Lonchura striata: one gene and its partners. The protein of the gene in region 1 interacts with the protein of each later gene in a pairwise test. Links are inferred from orthologs where the notes say so. Each region holds a gene or a part of one and is shown in the gene's direction. Other genes may lie near its edges.

What was found.
Region 2: the proteins of EEIG1 (region 1) and SH3GL1 interact in binary tests that used the Homo sapiens proteins (3 or more experiments, as listed by UniProt). The two-hybrid records come from large-scale screens. The link is inferred for Lonchura striata from reciprocal best matches to the Homo sapiens genes EEIG1 and SH3GL1.
Region 3: the proteins of EEIG1 (region 1) and SKAP1 interact in binary tests that used the Homo sapiens proteins (3 or more experiments, as listed by UniProt). The two-hybrid records come from large-scale screens. The link is inferred for Lonchura striata from reciprocal best matches to the Homo sapiens genes EEIG1 and SKAP1.

Annotation. Positions count from the first base shown.
Region 1 is NC_134624.1:777,449-784,780, reverse strand, and holds the start of EEIG1 (early estrogen-induced gene 1 protein), read left to right. Parts: upstream 1-4,330; 5' UTR 4,331-4,522; intron 4,523-6,223; 5' UTR 6,224-6,771; coding exon 6,772-6,917; intron 6,918-7,332. UniProt on the Homo sapiens protein: Key component of TNFSF11/RANKL- and TNF-induced osteoclastogenesis pathways, thereby mediates bone resorption in pathological bone loss conditions.
Region 2 is NC_134630.1:6,027,673-6,035,264, forward strand, and holds the start of SH3GL1 (endophilin-A2), read left to right. Parts: upstream 1-4,590; 5' UTR 4,591-4,709; coding exon 4,710-4,754; intron 4,755-4,822; exon of another isoform or gene 4,823-4,834; intron 4,835-7,592. Other genes in the region: CHAF1A (chromatin assembly factor 1 subunit A), read right to left, coding at 402-458, 2,160-2,950, 3,168-3,216. UniProt on the Homo sapiens protein: Implicated in endocytosis. May recruit other proteins to membranes with high curvature.
Region 3 is NC_134627.1:8,231,900-8,239,718, forward strand, and holds the start of SKAP1 (src kinase-associated phosphoprotein 1), read left to right. Parts: upstream 1-4,817; coding exon 4,818-4,860; intron 4,861-7,819. UniProt on the Homo sapiens protein: Positively regulates T-cell receptor signaling by enhancing the MAP kinase pathway. Required for optimal conjugation between T-cells and antigen-presenting cells by promoting the clustering of integrin ITGAL on the surface of T-cells.

The DNA of each region.
Region 1 (7,332 bases):
CAGATGCGTAGGTGATTAACCCGAGGCAGAATCCCAGCGCCAGCAGGGACAGTTTCTTTCACCTCTGTCACCTGAAATTCCAAATTAAAGGTTGCTGTGTCAAGGAGGAACCACAGACTTACAGTTGCTTCTGATGTATTTGGGGTAACAGCAGCATTTGTGGGTTGCAGTCAGTGGGACAGACCACGGCCACAACCAGCAATTCTCTTGTCCAGCACAACACTGATGGGATGGAAGCTGGGATACAGACACAGGATAAAGCTTGATAAACACAACAAGCCTTGAGGCAAAGCAGATTTCAAGTCTGCAGATTTTGGAAGGGGCAAACAAGATCCAGTTCCACCCACAGACCTCACAGAATGAAGCAGAGAGTTCTGCTGCACATTCCCAGAACACACTGAAGCAGGCATGGAAACCAGTAAACAAAAAAAGCCAGGCAGCTGGATTTTCAGGTCTAGCAACATTTTTGGGGAATGGAATCCACCGACTCCAGATTCCTGGGCTCCCTTTTATCAGTAACAGAATTCCCAGTGCTGGCAGGCCAGAAACCCACCGTGCAGGTGTGTCCTTTGCACATCCAACAGGAAACCCAGCCTGGCACAGAAAGTGAAACAGTTCCTGGCCTTTATGATGATGAGTTCAGTTAAATATGGAACAAGTGAAAAACACAAGCAGGTCAAAGTGCAGCTCACAGCCTGTTATTAAGCTGAGAAGTCACAAGCTTAGAGTAACTCCACACCATGGGATAATCCTATGCAATGGGGATAGGTACCCATTCCCCTCACAGGGTTTCCAGCTGCCTGCACGCTACAGCTGCTGTGGTGTCTGCACCCCCTGCCCCATTTTGGGAGCTCCCCAGCCAGGACCTGCCCCGGGTCCTGGGGAAGGCACCCACCCTCTGCTCCTTGGAGCATCCCACTTGCATCCCACTCACAGCTCCAAGAATGCATTTACAGCATAAAGTGACGTGTGGTAATCTCCTTTTTTTTTGGATGATGAGGCTGAAAGCTCATTAAGGCCATTACAGCAGAGGCGACAGGTGTAACAGGGGAGAACCATTACTGTGTTTATGCTGTTACAGCAACATGTGTAATTTACTTTTAAAACTTTAATCATTTGGCTGCCAGGACAAATGAATTGGCGTGATGATGCTTTCCAGAGGAAGATGCTGATGATGTAGTTTGCAGGGCTTGTGCATCTGGGATTCCCCTGGGATAAGAGATAGGATTTGAAGGCTCACCAAATGCATTATAGGATCTACCTCACTTCACCTCACTGAGTTTTGTCCCTCCTGCATTTATCTCACCTTGTTTCTCCACTGCTGCTTTATCTCTGTCCTCAAAGCAGAGAGGAGGCAAGACAAGGCATCTCTGTTGGTGCTGACTCTCAGAGCACAGCAGTCGTAGCCCTGGCCAGCCGGGCACACCTCTCCAGGAGAGCAGAGGTGAGGCCCAAACGTAACTGCAGAGCACAGACTGATAAAAATATCCCAGACTGATAAGACAGTGCCCTGAGCCAGCAAAAGTTGAGGAAGTGGTGGCGGCACTGGGGAGCGGCCTCAGGAAAGGCTTAGGTCAGGAAGAGCACAGGGCAGGGATGTGGCTGAGGCTCATGGAGCAGAGGTGAGGTGGGCACAGCCATAGAGAAATCCATAGGATGTGAGTCTGGGATGAGCAGAATCCATATCTATCAAAGTACCTTGTTAACACACATAGCCCCCTCTCCCCGCCATGGCCAGCGGATTGCACCTGAGCAGAAAATAATATCAAGCCAGAGGGATGGTGGATGGATGAAGACACCCTACACCCACATTCCCTCTGTGGGAGGCTGGGACTAACCCATCCCTTCTGTAAACAGGAGCACTGTCCCGTTTAAACATGTGAATTTCTCCAGAAACAATTATGCAGCATAAACACAGCAAAATCAACAGGGTGAATTTCGAACTAATAAAGATTTAATCTCTCAGTCATGAGACTGCGTTTGTTAGGAAAATACACATACCCCTGAGAATGCAGCTACGGTTGCTATACTACACACTGCTCAGCAGCTCACTGGGCATTCTTCCAAATCCATTTATTTTTAACATCAGTCACATTATTCAATTAATTATAAAAACACTGAGGTTTTCAAGAGATGTTTCTGATAAAACTGCAAAGTAAATATGCGTGAGAACAGCAAGGATTAAAGTGTCTGTAAACTTTAGCATTTGAGGCTGTTGCTATAAACAAGAGAAGTCCTCGAGAAGGTTATTTACCAGAGTGAATCATAGCAGATAACAGAGTCTCCTCCCACACACACACAGGGATCGTTTGTCCTTTACCTAGGGATGGAAGCAGAGCATTCACATGTCTGTCAGCCCTGTCAGCCATGTGCTGGGGCATGGGAGGTGTGAGAACTGGCCTGGATTCTTCAGATGCCTCTGGTATTTCAGCATCATATTTTGTAAATATCAAATATTTAGCAGGCTCTTTCCTAATAGGCTGGAAACAGAAATCAAAAAATGCCAGCCCATCTCCAGCAGTGCCTCAAAGCCTTGAAAACACCAGATAGGAATTTATGGAAGGATTCAAGCCTCACCTGCAAGAGCAGCCTATAAACCTTGCTGTTTCCTGGTGACTCCCTGTATGTCCTGTGATGATTTCACTGTACTAATACAAAATGTTTTCCCAGTCCAAAGTCTGTGTCAGCTTAACCTGGTAAGCAAAAATCGTAACAATGCATTTGGTTAGATCCAATTTTTCACTTTTATCCAAGAACATTTCTGTGTACTTTTCCTAGCAGACTCTTTTTTTTTTTTTTTTTCTTCCCAAGGTTCACATTGTGGTGGAATTATTTGATAGCTCTGATATTGTCTGCATAAGACGGCAGATTACAGGCAAGGAGTCTGGGCATCAAAGCCTGGCAGAGAGCAAGGACTCTCAGGCTTTCATCCAAGCTTTGCATATCAGCCTTGGGAACAGTTCCTCCTTATGAGCCTCAACTTCTCAGCCACAGAGGCTCTTGGGCAAACGCCTAAGTTTTAAATCTAGGCAAATCACGTTGATGATTGCAGCCTCCTTCAGGACAAGGAGAGACATTTTGTTCTGCTTGCCCTTAAACAATGGAATCCAGACTAACCAGGGATCCCAGCCGCAGCACTGGACACAGCAGCAGCACATAATAACAGGGAGCCGTGCTGATAAAGGGATGTGCCCCACTGCCTGCCACATCTCACATGTGGAGGGTGAGATTCCAGCTCTGGGCCCTGCCTCGTGCTGCTCCCCAGGGCTCTGTGGTACCAGGGCCTCGCTCCTGCTCCCAGGCAGCCCAGGCACTGCTGGCCCGACCCACAGCCTCTGCGGTATCCTGAGGGGACAGGATGGCCACACCGCTGAGCGGCCTGAGGAACCATACGCCTGCAGCCCATGGGACATGCTGATGAGAGGGATGTCACCCAGAGCTGCTGGGGCACTGGGACAAGCCAGGGGAAGAGCTCCTGGCTGTCAGGAGGATGCAGAGGTGACATCTGTCACCAAACCACAGAATGGGTCAGGTTGAAAGGGTCCGCAGTGGGTCATCTGGCTCTGTCTCCCTGCTCAAGTAGGGTCATCCCAGCCCACATGGCACAGGATTGTATCCAGACAGTTCTGGAATATTCTCAGTGAGGGAGACTCCACAACCTCTCTGGGCCAGTGAGCAGTCACTGCACAGGAAAGAAGTTCTTCCTTATGTTCAGGTAAAACTTCCTGGGCATTGCTTTCTGCCTATTGCCTGTTGTCCTTGTGATTGGCACCACTGACCTGAGCCTAACTTCATCCCCTTGGCACTCCACTTTAGGTATTTAAACACATTAATGAAGTCCCCTCTCAGTTATCTCTTCTTGAGGCTAAACAGGCCCACCTTCCTCAGCCTTTTCTCACAGCAGAGATGCACCAATTCCCCAGACATCCTTGTTGCCCTCCACTGGACCCACTCCGTATGTCTCACGTTAGAGATGACTGCCATCACCTCTGCCCAGGCAGGGACACCCCAGCGGCAGGCCCCTACCATCCGCTCAGCTCCCGTGCCAGCTGGACCAGCTCAGCCTGCAGAGGGGCTCCAAGCCCAGCGGCCCGAGTCCCGCTGAGGGGACACCGCTGACCCCGCTTCCCGCCCAGCCCCTCAGCCAGGGGGCGGGGCTTGTCCAAACCGACAGCTCTCTCCTCCAATCCCCGCGCTCTCTTCCCCGCCCCGTGCAGGATCAACCAATCACTGCCTCGCACCGCTCAGCCCGCCTCCTTGCTGCTATCCAATCGGACGGCGCCGCTCGCGTTTTCTCGTCTCGGGGGAGGGCGGGTGTTACGCGCTGTCGGTATTCCCGAAGCGCGGCAGCGCCGCTCTCCCCGCGCGCTGCCCACGTACCGGCTGCGCTATCGGCGTAGCGGCCGCAGTTGGCGTAGTGCGGGCAGAGGCGGCCGTGTCGGGGAGCGGCGGCCGCCGTGCGAGGAGCGGGCTGGAGGAGCGGGCAGGGCCGGGCAGGCACCGCGCCGGGACCGCGCCGCAGGTCAGTGGAGGGCGCTGGGAAGCGGGCTGAGACCTTCCGTAAGGCAGCTGGTGATGGGGGGCCGGGAGAGGGGTGAGATCGCGCTGCAGCTCGGTGCACGGGCTGGGAGAGTGCTGAGCCCGGCTGCAGCTCGGTGCGCGGGCTGTGGGGCCGGAGCTGGGCTGCGGCCCGGGCATGGCTCGGTGCTTGGTCCCTGGGGCTGGGCTGCGGGGCAGCCGGGGGTTCAGAGGGCCAAGAGGTGGACTAAGATCTCGGCACAGCTCAGTGCACAGCTTGGACAGAGAGCTGGGACCTGGGCAGAGCTCAGTGCCCGGCTGGGACCTGGGCACAGCTCCGTGCCCGGCTGGGACCTGGGCAGAGCTCAGTGCACAGCCTGGACAGAGAGCTGGGACCTGGGCACAGCTCAGTGCACAGCCTGGACAGAGAGCTGGGACCTGGGCACAGCTCAGTGCCCGGCTGGGACCTGGGCACAGCTCAGTGCCCGGCTGGGACCTGGGCACAGCTCAGTGCCCGGCTGGGACCTGGGCACAGCTCAGTGCCCGGCTGGGACAGAGAGCTGGGACCTGGGCACAGCTCAGTGCACAGCCTGGACAGAGAGCTGGGACCTGGGCACAGCTCAGTGCCCGGCTGGGACCTGGGCACAGCTCAGTGCTCGGCTGGGACAGAGAGCTGGGACCTGGGCACAGCTCAGTGCACAGCCTGGACAGAGAGCTGGGACCTGGGCACAGCTCAGTGCTCGGCTGGGACCTGGGCACAGCTCAGTGCTCGGCTGGGACCTGGGCACAGCTCAGTGCCCAGCTCGGGCAGGGAGCTGGGTCCTCAATACCATTCAGTGCATGACCCTGGAGTGCCAGGGGACAGGCTGTGACCTCACAGTAGCCAAGGCTGAGCCCTGGCAGCAGCTCGGCACAGGGACAGGTACTACTCGTGGTGTGGAGCATTGACCTGTCGTCCCCCACTCTGCTCCGAGGTGTCTGCAGGACAGCAGAACCCCGTGGAGGTGCCCGGGCCCTGGCAGAGCCAGCCGGGTTCTCCTGCAGCCACCGGGCAGGAGAGGGTCTTTAATCACCCACACAGGCAGCTCCTAGAATCGGTGGGGATTGTTTACTGCCCGGTGTTCATAACCTTGTCCTTTTGAGATGCTAATCAGCTCCTGCCTCCGTGGTTTAGGTGTTTTGTAAATGTGTAACGAAATCGCTGTCTGCAGCCCCAGATCTGAACCGAGCAGGGCACAGCTCTGTGCAGAGCCGGTGCCGGGGGAAGGCAGCATTCCCGGTGGGACTGGCCATTGGACAGCCAGATGACCTGATTCGGTTGTTATGCTGTGTAATCTGGAGCAGGCTGCTTGTTTTTTTCCCTCTCTGCTGCTTTCTCCATTTATAAGATACAGGTGCTAACACTTAGGGCTGGTTGGAAACGCAGGACAGAAACATATCTTTAATTTCTTGAGATGGATTTTCCTTCCTCTTATTAGACTGTGTGTTAGAATGATCTTGCGCTGTAGACTGCTTCTAAATATGATGACTGAAAATAGAGCAAATTTTTATTAGCTGCTTTGCAAAACAGAAATTACAAGGGGAATGACAACAGTGAAGCTTGCCCTAGGCAAAAAGGGGAAAGAGGATGTTGGGGCTGGGCTAATTGGGGCCATACCTCTTCAGACTGGAATGAGTCTGGACTGAATATTACCTATCCAAACAGGTTTTAGAGCAGGAGGAGGAGCCCAAGACTGGCTGGAACTAATTTACTCATTTCCCTCCCAAAGGCTGACCCAAAGACCCGTATCAGAGTTGCACAAGAGATAGAGACTGGAAGCTCTTTGAATGTGCTGCCTGCAGACTTAAGGCCTCTCCAGGGACTCGAGATGACTTCTCACAAGAGATGCTTTCAGGAGGGGTTGTGCTGAAGACAGAGCACTGCAGCCTCTAACTGGGACAGCTCCTGCTGGTCTGGAGCTGAGACCCAACTTCCCTCCCTCCCGTTTCCCTCGGAGATGTTGCAGAGATTTAATCTGACCTCTTCCTGCTCACCTGAAGCCTGCCGTGGCGATGATCCCACAGCCAGATCCGACCACCAAAGAGAAGAGAATCGTGCGTTTGAAGCTGGGCCGTCGTCGTAACTGAACTGGAATTTACTCCCTGCCTGTGCTCCCAGAACGACTGCCCTTCCTCTGCTTGTCTGTTTGTGCTGTGAGCCACTTCTCCCTGATCTTGTTTGGAATTCCTGAGCTTTCCTCGCTGAATTTGCCCATGGCTTTCCTGATGAAGAAGAAGAAATTCAAGTTTCAGACAAGTTTTACTCTAGAAGAGCTGACTGCTGTCCCCTTTGTCAATGGGGTTCTGTTCTGCAAAATCAGGCTGCTAGATGGAGGAGACTTTGCTAGTTTATCTAGCAGGTAAGACCCTGTCTGCAGACTTGCTGCCTGGCTGTGCTTCTTTCCCTGGTTATTTTTCCTTTGAGTGGTTTAGCATATGGCAACCACTTGCTTACCCCTTGATGGGAATTTAATAGTTCTGTTGTAGGGCCCCACATGCCATATCATTCTCCAGAGCAGGGGAAGTACGTAGCTGGAGAGCTCTGGACCTGGGTGGTGTTGGCTGATTTGAGCTGGATTGAATTTTTCAGAGATGAGGGGAGAGAGCGAGAGGTCACTCCCCTGAAAGGGGATTAAATCCTCTCTTCTCTTTTCCCCTCCTCCTTGCCCAAGTTCTCACAGACTGTTTCAAACCCTGTTCTGTATTGCCTTTATGCCTTACTTGAAACTCAACTCTTTAGGAAACTATGTCTAAGCAAATCAACCCTTCCCAACT
Region 2 (7,592 bases), on another chromosome or scaffold:
ATTCCATGAGTGGCAGCAGAATGAGGGAGCTTGAGGAGCTGCATCCTAGCAAACACAACCTGGAGCTTGAGCATTCCCAGTGGTGGCATCCAGTGGTGACATTCTCTGGGAAGCCACAGACACAGTGGCTCCACTTGCCTCGTGTATTAATAAAAACAAAACCTAAATTTTTAGGGCTTCAGAGTTTCTAATTTCTTCCCAAAGAGCCCCAGACGCAGCCAGGGCTCCACTCAGGAGCTTTGGAAAGAGGCAAGCACTTTAACTGCTTGCATTAAAGGTCCTTCCACGCTCCTCAGGGTGAGGAAAAATGGCAAAAGAGATGTTCCAGCTGGGCTGAGATAAAAGGCAAAGGCCTTGGTCGGCTCCTCAGGGGAGGTTTGGGTGTCAGGGAAATGCCTTACTCTTTGCAATCTCAGCTTCTCCTTCTCTGCTGAACTTCTGTGGAATTTCTGAGGTACCTGGAATTACAAAATGCAAGTTTTAGAGGAGATCCTGCTCCTGCCTTCCCAGCCTGAGTGACACCGGGCCGCTCCTGCAGATCACAGCCAGTCACTCCAAATTCCCCCAGAGCAGGGAATGAGGACAAAACTTGGGAATTTCCAATCTCCCCATTCCCATCCCAGGGCTCCTGCTCCCATGAACAAACCCCTCAGGTCCCCTCAGCAAGGGAACACCACGTGCACAGCACCCAGGGGAGCTGCTCTGAACCACAGGGGACATTTCAATATGGCAAACTCGCTTCCTTCCAGCTAAAATTGGGTTTGTTTGGGTTTTTTTTTTTCTTGGCCTCCACCTATCTTGCTGTGATATTTAGTATTTAGCTGTAATTTTATGAATACAAGGAGTGTTTTCCACATTTTTACAATTTCTTCTTGCCATCACAGTCCACTTGATCTTCCACCAGGAACAGCTCACTGACCCTAAATTCCAAACAGGGCACACTTCCCGTTTTTCTTTTATTTATGGGGGAAAGAAAAAGGTGGTTTATGCTTAAGATCATTGCTCATAGACTGGTTAAAGATTGTCAATATTTCAGCACACTGTGACTTGATTGACTGGATCCCCCCCTCCTCCTCCTGCCATTCACAGCATCACATTGTGAAATTGTGATTAACAGGCTAACACAGCCCAACTGCTTTATTTTCTATATTTAGCTGCCATAAAACAGGAGTTCTGTCAAGTGAGGGCTTCAGCTCCTCAGAGCTGCTTCCTCCCAGGAAAACAAACCTGCCAGGACTCGCAGCTGCACAGCTTGGGGTGCAGCCCCTCATTTTGGGGAGCAGCAGACGAGCAAATCCAGCCCCACTGGCAGTACTGGGTTACACCAAGATTGCTTTTTGTTGTTCTGCTACACTGGAAATACTTCATGCCTGCTTGAGTCTGTTTATTTTAGGGGTGGAAGACTGAGAGTTTTCAGAGAGGAAGAATTGATCGCTTGACTTGATAGACACAACGAAAGGACTGGGAGAACCATCCCCGTGGTGGTGCTGCTGCTCTTGGAAGCTTCTCTGTCCAAACTGCCCCAAAAATCAGAGTGTTTGGGGGCCTCCTGCTGAAGCAGAGCTGCTAAACTGAAACTCAGGTGAACAAAAACCCCCTCATCCAGAGGTTTTTCATAGAATCAGAATGCTTTGGGTTGGGAGGGCCCTTAGAGCCCATCCATGGGGCATTTCCACTGTGCCAGGCTGCTCCAATCCCCACCCAGCCTGGCCTTGGGCACTGCCAGGGATGAGGCAGGGCAGCTGCTCTGGGAAATCTGTGCCAGGGCTTTTCCATGGCAGCTGCAGGAAATTCAGAGCTGGAAAAAACATCTGCACTGGCTGTGCTGGGGGAACATCCTCACAGGAATCCCAGCAGCTCGGAGGGGGATGAAACAGAGCTTGGGAAAAAACACCTAAAGTACAAAACTGCTGCTCCCAAAACACCAAGTGTCAAGTGGGTATTCCATTAAAGAAATGTAAATCCAGCAGCAGCCAGAAGCAGAGAGAATCAAACCCTTGAGCTGCAGGATTTAAAGACTCCAAAGGGCAACAAATCAGTAATCAACCACCACCACCTTCCCAACGCTCCTCACTGCCCCACTCAACCTCCTCCCCACAATCCCAGCAACCCAAACGTTGCACCACAGCAACTTGCACCCCAAACCAGAGCAGACCAACCTTCCTGGCAGGTGTGGAGGCAGCCAGAGGAATGCTGCTGCCCTTGGTCTGTGCCAGGAGCTCGGGGGAGCTCCCGGAGCTCAGTGAGGAGTTGGTCAGTCCCGAGTCTCCCTCGTGGGACGACTCTAGGGCCTCGCTCTCCGAGGCGGTGCTGCCATCCAGAGAGGCCACCTGGGGGGATTTCAGGCTCATGATGTCCTCCAGCAGCACCACGGGCACCTTCCCCTCAAAAAGCACATCCTTCAGTTCACCTGGAGTGCCCTTCCTGCCTGCCACGTCCTTGCAGGCCGTGAGGCCGGAGCAGGGCTGGCTCCCAGCTCCCAAATCCTGCTCTGCCTTGGCTGCAGCTGCGCAGGGCCCCTCAGTCTGCGTGGAGTCACCTGTTGGGCTGCTCTGCGAGGAGCTCAGGCAGCTCAGCTCCTTTCCTATGGTGCCATTGCTGACAGCAGCTCTAGAATCCACAGCCTCCTGCTCCGTGCCATCCCCGAGTCCGTGGGCAGAGCCCTTGGAGAGGTCAGGAACATCCCCGGGGTCACTCGTGTCACCTCCTGGGTTTTTCTGGATAAAATGGTCCAATGGACCTTTTCCATTCATGAGTTTTGGAGGCAAATTCCCATCTGAGCTCAGCTGGCAGTCATTCTCCACATCGTCCAGGGAGGCACCTGAGGCATCCAGGGAGGGATCCTTGCTGGGAACAAAAGCACTCGGGGAGCTCTTGACTTTTTTGACCTCTGGATTCACATCGAGTTTTTCCTTTGGCACAGGATTGAGGCGCTTGAAGGGCAGCCGAGCTGCAACAACAACACCAGGTTAGAGCCACGAGGTGACAAAGGGTTTCATTCATTTTTAAGAATAAGACTGAGATAAGCCACTTAGAGATGCTTTAATCACAGCCAAGCCAATCCCAAAACAATCCCATAAAACCCATTTGTGCAGCCAATGTATTCCACAAAATCACATCTGAGATGTTCTTGCTAAAACCGTGCTGGATGAGAGACACTCCCTTACCTTGGACGAGCTTCCGTGGAGGAACAGCAGCTTTGTCTCTGCACTCCATGGCTACGGGAGAAAACAACAAATCAGCACCCGGGGCTTTCTCTGAGACAGCTGAGGCCGAGCCCAGCAGCTCTCCCAGGGCCGGCGAGGGAGGACAAAGGGGTCCCACTGTCACCCCCGAGCCACCAGCTCCCAGCAGCCGCAGCCTCCTCCTGGCTGGGCAGAGCAGGAACGTCCCCAGGAGGCCCCGAGGAGAAGCGAGGAGGAAATTCCTCCCTGTGAGGGCGGCCAGGCCCTGGCACAGCGAGCCCAGAGCAGCTGCGGCTGCCCCTGGCAGTGCCCAGGGCCAGGCTGCATCACCCCGGCGCAGCACACAGCGTCCCTACCCACGGCAGGACGAGCTTTCGGATCCCTCCCCACCCAAACCGGTCCGTGACTCCCCGAGCGAGGCTGCGGGGCGGGCCGGGGCCCAGCCCCGGGGCGCGGCGGCAGCTCCGGCACCTCCTTTGTTACCCGGGGCAGGCCCCGCGCACCCCCGCGGCCCAACCGCCGCCGGAAACACCTCGCGCCCCGGCCGCGCCGCGCCCCGCGGGCTGCGCCCTACCTGCGGCGGCGGCCGGCGCGGCTGGCGGCGGTGCCGGCCGGCCCGTGAGGCGGCGCGGCCCGCGCAGCGCCCGCGGCTCCGGGCCCGGTCCCGCCCGGCCCGTCCCGCTCGTACTTGGCGGGAGCCGGGGCGACCCCGCGTCCCGCGCCGCTGATTGGCGGAGCGCGCCCCACGTGACCCGCCCGGCCACGCTCCCCCGCGGCGCCTCGCCTCTCGGTTGGTCGCCGCCGTCAGCGCCGCTGATTGGCGGAGGGGGGTGTCGGTCCGGCGCGCTGCGGGCGCTGATTGGGCGGTTTTGTAAAGGGCCGGCGGGGCGCCGCTGGGTGCCGGGGCTGGGCCCGAGGGATGCCCGCTCACCGGGCGGGAACGGCGCTGCGGCGGGCCGGTCCCGGGCCGGAGGAGCCTGTCCGCAGCACCGGGAGGAGAGGGTGGAGCCAGCACTGCCGCCCCTCGCGCTACTACGGGCATCGAGCCACCGCGCGAAATGGCGGCGGGACCAGCGGCCAATAAGCGCGCCGCTGTCGCGAGGGATGCTGGGAGCTGTAGTTTTCCATTTGGAGCTCTGTCGCCCCATTACTATAGCGGGGGTCCCGGCACCGCCGTCCCCGTGCGGCGCACCCGGTCCGCTCCCGGCGGGCGGTGCTTCGTCCGTCACGAGAAATCCACGGCTGCGCCACCGCCGTTCCCCGCCACGAGCGCCCGTCGCGCGTGTCGCGACAGAACGGCTCTCTCGGCTCCGCCCGGCCGGCAGGGGGCGCGCCGGCCCCGCGCGGCGCTCCGGCCGCGCCGCTCGCTGGTGGCGGCGGCCGGGGGCGGCGGCGGAAGCGGCGGCGGGGACGGGCCGGGCCGGGCTGGGACGGGCGGAGCGTCCTGAGGCTCCCGAGGCTCCCGCCGCCCCCAGCGCCAGGTCCCGCCGCCCGCAGACCGGGCCAGGCACCGGCACCGGCACCATGTCGGTGGCGGGGCTGAAGAAGCAGTTCTACAAAGCGACCCAGGTGAGACACCGGCACCGCGCGCCCGCTCCCGCCGCCGCTGCGCTGCGGCCGGGCCGATCATCCCTTACCGGTCCGGAGAACCCATCCCGGCCGCTGCTGCCCCGGCGCTGCGCGCTCCCCGCCGTTATCCCGGTGCTGGTCCCGCCGGGCATCCCCCGGTACCCGCCGGTGCCCAGCCTGGCACCCCCCGGGATCCCGGGCTCGTACCTCCCGGTTCTCGGTGTGATCCCGGGGCTCGGTGCGGGCCGTGAGCGGAGCCGGGACCCCCGGGCGGGGCTCGGTGCGGGGAGCCGTTCTCCCGGTGGCACCGGGGAGGGGACACGGGCAGGGAATCGGCTTCGCGGCGGTGACACCTGGGGGTCACTGGGGGTGTTTCCCCCTCCCCAAAACCCGCCCGCACAACCGGGACGGATCCAGCCTTAAACCGGCCGGGAGAGGCGGAGGAAGCGCCGGGAGCAGCGGCCCCGGTAACCCCGGTAACCCCGGCGGCGGCCTCGGGAAGCTCCCGGTTCCTGCAGAGCGGCTGGAGCGGGAGGGAAAAGGGCTGGGAAAAGCTCCAGAGGTTCGGGAATCGCAGCCAGGCTCGAGGAGTTGGTGCGGTGCCCTTGGAGCTCAGCCCTGGGAGCGCCCAGCGCCGGGCTTGGAGCAGCCCCGGACGGAGGAATGGGATTTTCCATCAGCTGCTCCACAATTCCATAATTCCGTGTGGGAACGGGCCTCCAAGAGGCTTCACAAACTCCTTTTTCCTCCCTCAGAGGAAGCAATGGCCATTCCCAAGCCTCCCCAGCAGAATTCTCCTTCCCACCGCCTCCCGTCCGCCGCTGGGAGGTTTTGTGGATGCGTTTTGGGAAGGGTTCAGGAATCGCAAATTCCCCCTCTGCTCCTGCTGCTTTCCTGCCCCTGCTTTCAATTCCAGATAAATTTGGCACGGATGGTGTTTTCCATCGCTGAGCTTAAACCCTTTCAGTTCATCCCACCCCTGTGTGCGACATGTGTCGCCTCCTTCCTCGGCTCCGTTTCCCCAAATCCGTTTTATTTACCCAGCAAAGCAAAAAGAACAAATTCCTGAGGTCATCCTCCACCCTCCTTTCCCACTGAACCCGTCGTGGGGTGGTTTTTATGCTGTTTTTCCTCAACTTCCACGGGGAAAGGTCATGCTGGGGACTGGGAGTGGGAGGATTTTGCTGGCCTGGATGTGCTGTGGTGGCGTCAGGAGGTGATTCAGGACTAACACGTTCCTAAGCCCCAAAATATCATTTTAAGCCCCAGATGAAACCATTTTTTGGAGGAATTACAAATTCTTCCAGAGGTGCTACCACCCCTTGCAGTGTCCACGACTTAGAAATGCTCTGGCTGGAAACTGGGAGTCACTGGTTCCAGTTTGGCCATTTTTTCTTGTCTCTTCCTCCCTTCCTTCTCTTTTCCCCCCTTTCTCCCCTCTGGTCCCACTCAGCCCTTGGCTGAAGGAGGGGAGGATTAGTTATTTTTTGGCTCCCTTCAAACCATCAGACTCTGCCAAAGCCCAACATGTGGAAGATCTTTCCTAAAATATTACGTTTTGTTCCACGTCTGTCCTTCATTGAAGGCAATCAGAGCCAGGAGTGGGGTCTGCAGGGACCCCAAAGATTTGGGATCCCTGTTTAGGATCCAGAGGGAGCAGGGCTTGGCTCGTGGGCCCCATCCATGTGATTTTTCCAAGCCCACGTCTCCCCTGGGTGAGGCAGCCCACATGCAGGAGAGAGCTTGGAGTATCCTGGAAAAAAAAAAAAATAAAATAATCTGAGTCGTGCTGGCAAATGGTGGAGATGGGGAACAGCTCTGAGTGTGTCCAGAACAGGTTCTGCCTGTTCACAGCAAACTGTTCCCTAAAAAAAAAATAAAAAAAAAAAATAAAGAAAGCTGGAGAAAACATCCTGAGGAAGGGGGAGAAACAGCAGCAGCAGCTTGGAGCTGGGAACAGGGTGGGAAGTCCCTGCCTGGTCCAGGGTTTCATCCAGCCTGGAATTCACAGGGACCTCCTGGTGTTGTAACAGCTTGGTTTGCACCCTTTGGGTTTTGTACAAACTGCTGGAAATCCTAAAATCCTGCAGATCTTCCCAGGCAGTGGGCAGGACAGGCTGCTGCTCCGGGGGGGATCCTGAGGGAATCTGGGGGTGCCAGCAGCAGGGCTGGAGGGAGGAAACGGCCTCAGTGAGGCTGAAATCTGATATTAAAGCAAATTTTTTCCATGGAAAAGGTGCTCAGGCATTGGAACAGGCTGCCCAATGGAGTCGCCATCCCTGAAGTGTTCAAAAACCAGGTGGATGTGGCACTTGGGGACACGGTGGTGAACCTGGGCTGGACTCAGTGGCCCTAAAGCTCTTTTCCAAGCTCACCCATTCCACAATTCCACATCCCAGCCCTGCCTGGGTCACGCTCAGCCAGCAGCAGGAACAGCCCAGGAGCTTTTTGGGGTCAGGGGAGTGCAGGGATGGGATTGTGCTGCCCTTCCCAGGAGGTTTTGGGGTCAGGAAATGCAGGGATGGGTTTGTGCTGCCCTTCCCAGGAGGTTTTTGGGGTCAGGGGAGTGCAGGGATGGGTTTGTGCTGCCCTTCCCAGGAGTTTTTGGGGTCAGGAAATGCAGGGATGGATTTGTGCTGCCCTTCCCAGAGCCCAGGAGCTTTTTGGGGTCAGGAAATGCAGGGATGGGTTTGTGCTGCCCTTCCCAGGAGGTTTTTGGGGTCAGGAAATGCAGGGATGGGTTTGTGCTGCCCTTCCCAGAGCCCAGGAGCTTTTTGGGGTCAGGAAATGCAGGGATGGGTTTGTGCTGCCCTTCCCAGGAGGTTTTTGGGGTCAGGA
Region 3 (7,819 bases), on another chromosome or scaffold:
CTCCGATGGAATTCTGCTGGGCTCCAGGGACGGCTTTTCATCTTCCCTGGCCGGGAATGCAGCTCAAAATCCAGGAATTTCGGATTTTTATGGAATTCAGAGGGAATTCTCCCCACTTTTCCACCGGCCAGGCCTGGTTCTGAGGGAATCCTGAACATCCCAAATCCCAGATTTCTGCTTCCCGCTCTTATCCCTCCAAAATTCCGATTTTTGACGCCCTTTCCATGCGTTTTGAGGAGTCGGGCCCGGAAAGTGGAACCAGGCTTTGCTTTTAACAAAACCCTCCCGGCATCACGGAATATTCCCCGCCGGAAACTCCGACCCCAGCGATCACCCAAACCCCAAAAATTCCCATGGGAAGCTCCTCCCGGCAGGAATTTTTTCCTGTCAGGAGGCACGGAGCAGAAATTCCGTGGGAATAAAGATTTCACCTCCCACAAAATCGGGGTTTTCTTTGAGCCAGGTTTATTTTTTTTTGGAGATTTGGGAACGCCCTCCTGGGCTCAGGATTGGGATTTTTCCGGCGGGATGAGGCCAAAATTTGGGAATTTGGAGTCAGAACCCCAAATCTGCCCCGAATTCCCTCAGCCTGGGCCTGCTCTCCCTGCTCCCACAGGGAAGGGGAGGAGAGATTCCCTGGGGAATTCCCAGCTTTATTATCCATATTTTCCATATTCCCTGTATTTCCCAGCTTTCCCAGCTTTATTATCCACAATTTCTATATTCCCCATATTTCTCAGCTTTCCCTGCCTTCCCCACTTTCCCAGCTTTATTATCCATGTTTTCCATATTCCCCAGTTTTCCCAGCTTTCCCAGCTTTATTATCAATATTCCCTGTATTCCTCAGCTTTTCCAGCTTTTCCAGCTTTATTATCCACATTTTCCATATTCCCCGTATTTCCCAGCTTTCCCAGCTTTATTATTCATATTTTCCATATTCCCCGTATTCCTTGTATTTCCCAGCTTTTCCAGCTTTATTATCCATATTTTCCATATTCCCCGTATTCCTTGTATTTCCCAGCTTTTCCAGCTTTATTATCCATATTTTCCATATTCCCCATATTTCTCAGTTTTCCCAGCTTTATTATCCATATTTTCCATATTCCCTGTATTCCCCATATTTCCCAGCTTTCCCAGCTGTCCCAGCTTTTCCATATTTTTCATATTTCCCAGCTTTTCCATATTTCCCAGCTTTTCTAGCTTTCCCAGCTTTTCTAGCTTTTCTAACTTTTCCATGGAACACTGGCCTGGCCTTTCCCAGCCCTTTTCCAGTCTGGAATTTCCATAGAACGTTGGCCTGGCCTTTCCCAGCCCTTTTCCAGCCTGGAATTTCCATGGAATGCTGGCCTGGCCTTTCCCAATCCCGGGGCCAGGAGCTGCGGAATTCCAGCGCCATGGAATGGTTTGGGTGGGAAGGAGCTGGAATTCCACCCAGCCCCATCCAGGGACAATTCCAGCCTGGCCCGAGGCAATTCCTGGGACAATTCTGGGACAGATTCCCTGGAAATTCCAGCCCAGCCCATTGCAGGGAGCAATTGTTGGGAAAAACAATCCTAAAAGGCATCAGGGTTTGATTCCATCCCAAACCCTGAGCAGGGCTGTCCTTTAGGAATTCCCCACTGGATTCAATCCCAAATTCTGAGCAGGGCTGTCCTTCTCTCATTTCCCCCCCAATATTCCCAATATTCCCAGTGGGACCAAGGCTCTGCCTCTCCCATTTTCCTCCTGATATTCCCAATATTCCCAGTGGAAACAGGGCTCTGCTTCTCCCATTTTCCCTCCAATATTCCCAGTGGGAACAGGGCTCTGCCTCTCCCATTTCCCCCCCAATTTTCCCCAATATTCCTGATAGGAAAAGGGCTCTGCTTCTCTTGTTTTCCCCCCGATATTCCCAATATTCCCAGTGGGAACAGGGCTCTTCCTCTCCCATTTTCCCCCCAATTTTCCCAAATATTCCCGATATTCCTGACATTCCCAACAGGACCAGGGCTCTGCCTCTCCCGTTTTCCCCCCAATTTTCCCAAATATTCCCGATATTCCTGACATTCCCAACAGGACCAGGGCTCTGCCTCTCCCGTTTCCCCCCAAATATTCCCGATATTCCCGACATTCCTGACAGGACCGGGGCTCTGCCTCTCCGTTTTCCCAGCTCCGTTTCCATGGTTACTCCCAATCCCGCCTCCGTTTTTCGGGAAATCGCATTTCCCAAGGATGCCAGCCGGGCTCAGCCGGGCCCTGCGAGGATCCAGGTGGGAATTTTCTCCCGTGGGGAGGAGGTTTTGAATCCGGAATCCCCAAATTTGGGATGCTGCGGGCACAGGACGGTGCCAGGCTCCCCCCTCTCCTTCCCAGCTGACCCCAAAGCCAAATCTGTGACCGTTCCAAAATCCAAAAATTGAAGTGGTGAGGAAAAAGAGGGAAGGAAAAAAAAAAAAAAAGGTCATTTCCTTGGAAATTGGGAAAATCCTTTCCCTGAGACCCTACCTGAGATATTTTTATTTTCTGTTATTTTTATTTCCTGCCTTTAATTCCCTAAATCCCACCTCAGGAGACCCTACCTGGCCAGGAGATTTGAGGAGCAGCTTTTGACAGGGAAAAAAATCCAAAATTATCTCCCAAAAAAGGTTTGGAAATCCTTAAATCCCAACCATACCTGTCAGGGAGATTTGAGGAGCAGCTTTTGACAGGGAAAAAATCCAAAATTATCTCCCAAAAAAGGCTCCTAAATCCCTAAATCCCAACCATACCTGTCAGGGAGATTTGAGGAGCAGCTTTTGACAGGGAAAAAATCCAAAATTTTTCCAGAGAAAAGGCTCAGAATTCCCTAAATTTGAGCCCCACCTGGACAGGACATTTGAGGAGCAGCTTTTGACAAGGAAAAACCCAAATTTTGCCCCAAAAAAGGCTCAGAATTTCCTAAATCCCAACCATACCCAGCCAGGACATTTGAGGAGCAGCTTTTGACAAGGAAAAACCCAAATTTTGCCCCAAAAAAGGCTCAGAATTTCCTAAATCCCAACCATACCCAGCCAGGACATTTGAGGAGCAGCTTTTGACAAGGAAAAACCCAAATTTTGCCCCAAAAAAGGCTCAGAATTTCCTAAATCCCAACCATACCCAGCCAGGACATTTGAGGAGCAGCTTTTGACAAGGAAAAACCCAAATTTTGCCCCAAAAAAGGCTCAGAATTTCCTAAATCCCAACCATACCCAGCCAGGACATTTGAGGAGCAGCTTTTGACAAGGAAAAACCCAAATTTTGCCCCAAAAAAGGCTCGAGGCCCCCCAAAGGCCAGCGGAGCGGCTCCTGTGATATTCGGATTTTCCACCTCTGCTCGGGGCCCCCGGGCTGCGTTTCCTGTGTTCGAGGCCTCAGCATCCGCTGCCAAATCTCCATTTTTGGGGCCGTTTCGGTGCTAAAGCTGGGCCGGGCTGCAGGGGGGAGGGGCAAACCCTGATTTTCCCACCCGGCACAGAAAGGGTTAAAAAAATCCGTTGGGAAATGCCGGGTGGGAAAGTTTGGGAATGACGTGGCAGCGACAGCTCCGAGGTTTTGGGTCCCAGATCTGGAGAATCCCCCGGTGCTCCCTCTGTCCCCAAAGGAAAAAAAAACCCCAAAATCCCAAAATCCAAAAAAATCCAGCAGGGAATTTTCATGGAAATTTGCCTTTTGTGGGCCCTTCTCCGTAAAATCACCCTCCTTGAAAAACGGGATTGCTGAGGTGCAAATCCCAACCCAAAATGGCCCCAAAATATCCCCAAAAGGACTCTGGAGCTGCTTTGGGGTTTCTCCTTCGGCTCCACGACCCCAAATCCCGACCCCAAAAACTCGGGATCCCCCCGGCACCTGCTCCTTGTCTGCTTTGTGCTGAGAAATGAAAAAGAAATTGAATTTTTTCCTTTATTTCTTGGAAAAGCAGGGCCCAAAACACCCGGGAGCACCTGGAGGAGCAGCTCTGGATTTCCAGGAGTATTTCCATGTGGAAATTTCCAAATTTAGAAGTATCTTTCCCGTATTTCCACATGGAAATTTCTGAATTTCCAGGGATATTTCCCACATTTCCCTATGGAGGAGCATCTCCATATTTCCGTGGATATTTTCCATATTTCCACATAGAAATCTCCAAATTTCCAGGGATATTTCCCACATTTCCTTATGGAGGAAATCTCAATGTTTTCAGGAGTATTTCCTTTCAGAAATCTCCCACATTTCCAGGAGTTTTTCCATCTTTTCCCTATCCCAGGTGATTTTTTTTCCCAACCCAACCTCTTTTCCACGCAGAAAATGGGAAAAGGGGAAATCTCATCCCAGATCATCCCCTTTTTTCCACCATTGGAATTTTTGGGGTGGCAAACCTGGAAAAAATCCCAGTTTTGGGGGCAGGAACAGCCCCAGGGAAACTCCAGATGAGCTCTGGGAGGAAATTCCAGCCGGGAATTCCAATTCAGCTTTTCCTCTCTGGAATTTTTGGGGTGGCAAACCTGGAAAAATCCCAATTTTTCGGGCAGGAACAGCGCGAGGAAGCTCCGGGAGGAAATTCCAGCCGGGAATTCCAGGCGGAGCTCCTTGGCTGGAGTTCAGCTTTCCCCACCGGAATTTTTGGGATGGCCCAGGACAGCTGGGAAGGATCCCGGGGATCCGCTGGGGTTGAAGGCGAGGAGGAGGAAGCCAAACCCCAAAGGTTCCTCCTCGTTTTTGGGGTGTCCCCGCCCTCGCGGCTTCCTCCCCGTCACCCCAGAGCCGGCGCGGCCCCGGTGGGACGCGATCCCGAGGATCCCGAGGATCCCGTGGATCCCGTGGAGGATCCCATGGATGCCATGGACGCCCCGATCCCAGAGGAGATCCGGCGGCTCCTGGAAGGTGACGGATCCCTCCTCGCCCCGTGGGCAGCGCGCTGGGGCTGGCCGGGGTTGGGGTGGCTTTTCTGGGCACCTTTGGGCTCTTCAGGGGTCCTGGGACCTCCCCGGCCCTGACCCCAAAATTTGGGGGCTGTGGGGCCTCCCTGATCCCAAAAATTTGGGGGTTGTGGGGCCTCCCTGATCCCAAAAATTTGGGGGTTGTGGGGCCTCCCTGACCCAAAAATTTGGGGGTTGTAGGGCCTCCCTGATCCCAAAAATTTGGGGATTGTGGGGCCTCTGTGACCCCAAAAATTTGGGGGTTGTAGGGCCTCTGTGACCCCAAAATATGGGGGTTGTGGGGCCTCTGTGACCCCAAAATTTGGGGGTTGTGGGGCCTCCCTGACCCAAAAGTTTGGGGATTGTGGGGCCTCCCTGATCCCAAAATTTGGGGGTTGTAGGGCCTCTGTGACCCCAAAAATTTGGGGGTTGTGGGGCCTCCCTGACCCAAAAATTTAGGGGTTGTAGGGCCTCTGTGACCCCAAAAATTTGGGGGTTGTGGAGCCTCCCTGACCCAAAAATTTGGGGGTTGTGGGGCCTCCCTGACCCAAAAATTTGGGGGTTGTAGGGCCTCTGTGACCCCAAAAATTTGGGGGTTGTGGGGCCTCCCTGACCCAAAAATTTGGGGGTTGTAGGGCCTCTGTGACCCCAAAATTTGGGGGTTGTAGGGCCTCCCTGACCCAAAAATTTGGGGGTTGTGGGGCCTCCCTGACCCCAAAATTTGGAGGTTGTGGGGCCTCCCTGACCCAAAAATTTGGGGATTGTAGGGCCTCTGTGACCCCAAAATTTGGGGGTTGTAGGGCCTCTGTGACCCCAAAAATTTGGGGGTTGTGGGGCCTCCCTGACCCAAAAATTTGGGGGTTGTGGGGCCTCCCTGATCCCAAAAATTTGGGGGTTGTGGGGCCTCCCTGACCCAAAAATTTGGGGGTTGTGGGGCCTCCCTGACCCAAAAATTTGGGGATTGTAGGGCCTCTGTGACCCCAAAATTTGGGGGTTGTGGGGCCTCTGTGACCCCAAAATTTGGGGGTTGTAGGGCCTCTGTGACCCCAAAAGCTTGGGGGTTGTGGGGCCTCCCTGACCCAAAAATTTGGGGATTGTGGGGCCTCCCTGATCCCAAAAATTTGGGGGTTGTGGGGGCTCTGTAACCCCAAAAATTTGGGGGTTGTAGGGCCTCTGTGACCCCAAAATTTGGGGGTTGTGGGGCCTCCCTGACCCAAAAATTTGGGGGTTGTAGGGCCTCTGTGACCCCAAAAATTTGGGGATTGTGGGGCCTCCCTGATCCCAAAAATTTGGGGGTTGTGGGGCCTCCCTGACCCAAAAATTTGGGGGCTGTGGGGCCTCCCTGACCCAAAAATTTGGGGGTTGTAGGGCCTCTGTGACCCCAAAAATTTGGGGATTGTGGGGCCTCCCTGATCCCAAAAATTTGGGGGTTGTGGGGCCTCCCTGACCCAAAAATTTGGGGGCTGTGGGGCCTCTGTGACCCCAAAAATTTGGGGGCTGTGGGGCCTCTGTGACCCCAAAAGCTTGGGGGTTGTGGGGCCTCCCTGACCCAAAAATTTGGGGGCTGTGGGGCCTCTGTGACCCCAAAAATTTGGGGGTTGTGGGGCCTCTGTGACCCCAAAAATTTGGGGATTGTGGGGCCTCCCTGACCCAAAAATTTGGGGGTTGTGGGGGCTCTGTGACACCAAAAATTTGGGGGTTGTAGGGCCTCTGTGACCCCAAAATTTGGGGGTTGTGGGGCCTCCCTGATCCCAAAAATTTGGGGGTTGTAGGGCCTCTGTGACCCCAAAAATTTGGGGGCTGTGGGGCCTCCCTGGCCCTGACCCCCAGGAGAATTTGGGGGTGACCTTGAGGAGAATTTTGGGATTGTGGGGCCTCCCTGACCTCAGACATTCCCAGATTTCCTGAACCCTTTCCCATTCCCAGATTTCCTGCCCCTTCCCAGGCCCAGCTTTCTTTCCCAGGTCCAGATTTCCTAAACCCTTTCCCAGCTTTCTTCTCCCTTCCCAGATTTCCTAAACCCTTTCCCAGATCCAGGTTTCCTGACTGTTCCCAAGTTTCCTAAACCCCTTCCCGGTTTCCTAAATCGCATTCCCAGTTTTCCTAAATCCTTTCCCAAACCCACTTTCTGTCTCCAAGGCCATGTATCCCTGATTTTCCTGCCATTCCTGGATTTCCTGCCCTTCCCAAATTTTCTAAATCCCTTTCCCAGTTTTGTTCCCCTTCCCAAACCCACTTTCCCTCTCCACGATTTTCCCAGCCGTTCCCACATTTCCTTCCCCTTCCACATCCATTTTCCCTCTCCAAGGCCGCGTATCCCCAATTTCCCCATTCCCATTCCCGGATTTCCTTCCCCTTCCCACCCCCATTTCCCCCTCCAAGGCCGCCTATCCCATTTTTCCCATTCCCACATTTCCTTCCCCTTCCCACCCCCATTTCCCCCTCCAAGGCCGCCTATCCCATTTTTCCCATTCCCGGATTTCCTTCCCCTTCCCAATCCCATTTCCCCCTCCAAGGCCGCCTATCCCACTTTTCCCATTCCCATTCCCGGATTTCCTTCCCCTTCCCACCCCCATTTCCCCCTCCAAGGCCGCGTATCCCACTGTTCCCATTCCCATTCCCGGATTTCCTTCCCCTTCCCACCCCCATTTCCCCTCTCCAAGGCCGCGTATCCCGCTGTTCCCATTCCCATTCCCGGATTTCCTTCCCCTTCCCACCCCCATTTCCCCTCTCCAAGGCCGCCTATCCCGCTGTTCCCATCCCCATTCCCACATTTCCTTCCCCTTCCCACCCCCATTTCCCCCTCCAAGGCCGCCTATCCCGCTGTTCCCATTCCCATTCCCGGATTTCCTTCCCCTTCCCAATCCCATTTCCCCTCTCCAAGGCCGCCTATCCCATTTTTCCCATTCCCGGATTTCCTTCCC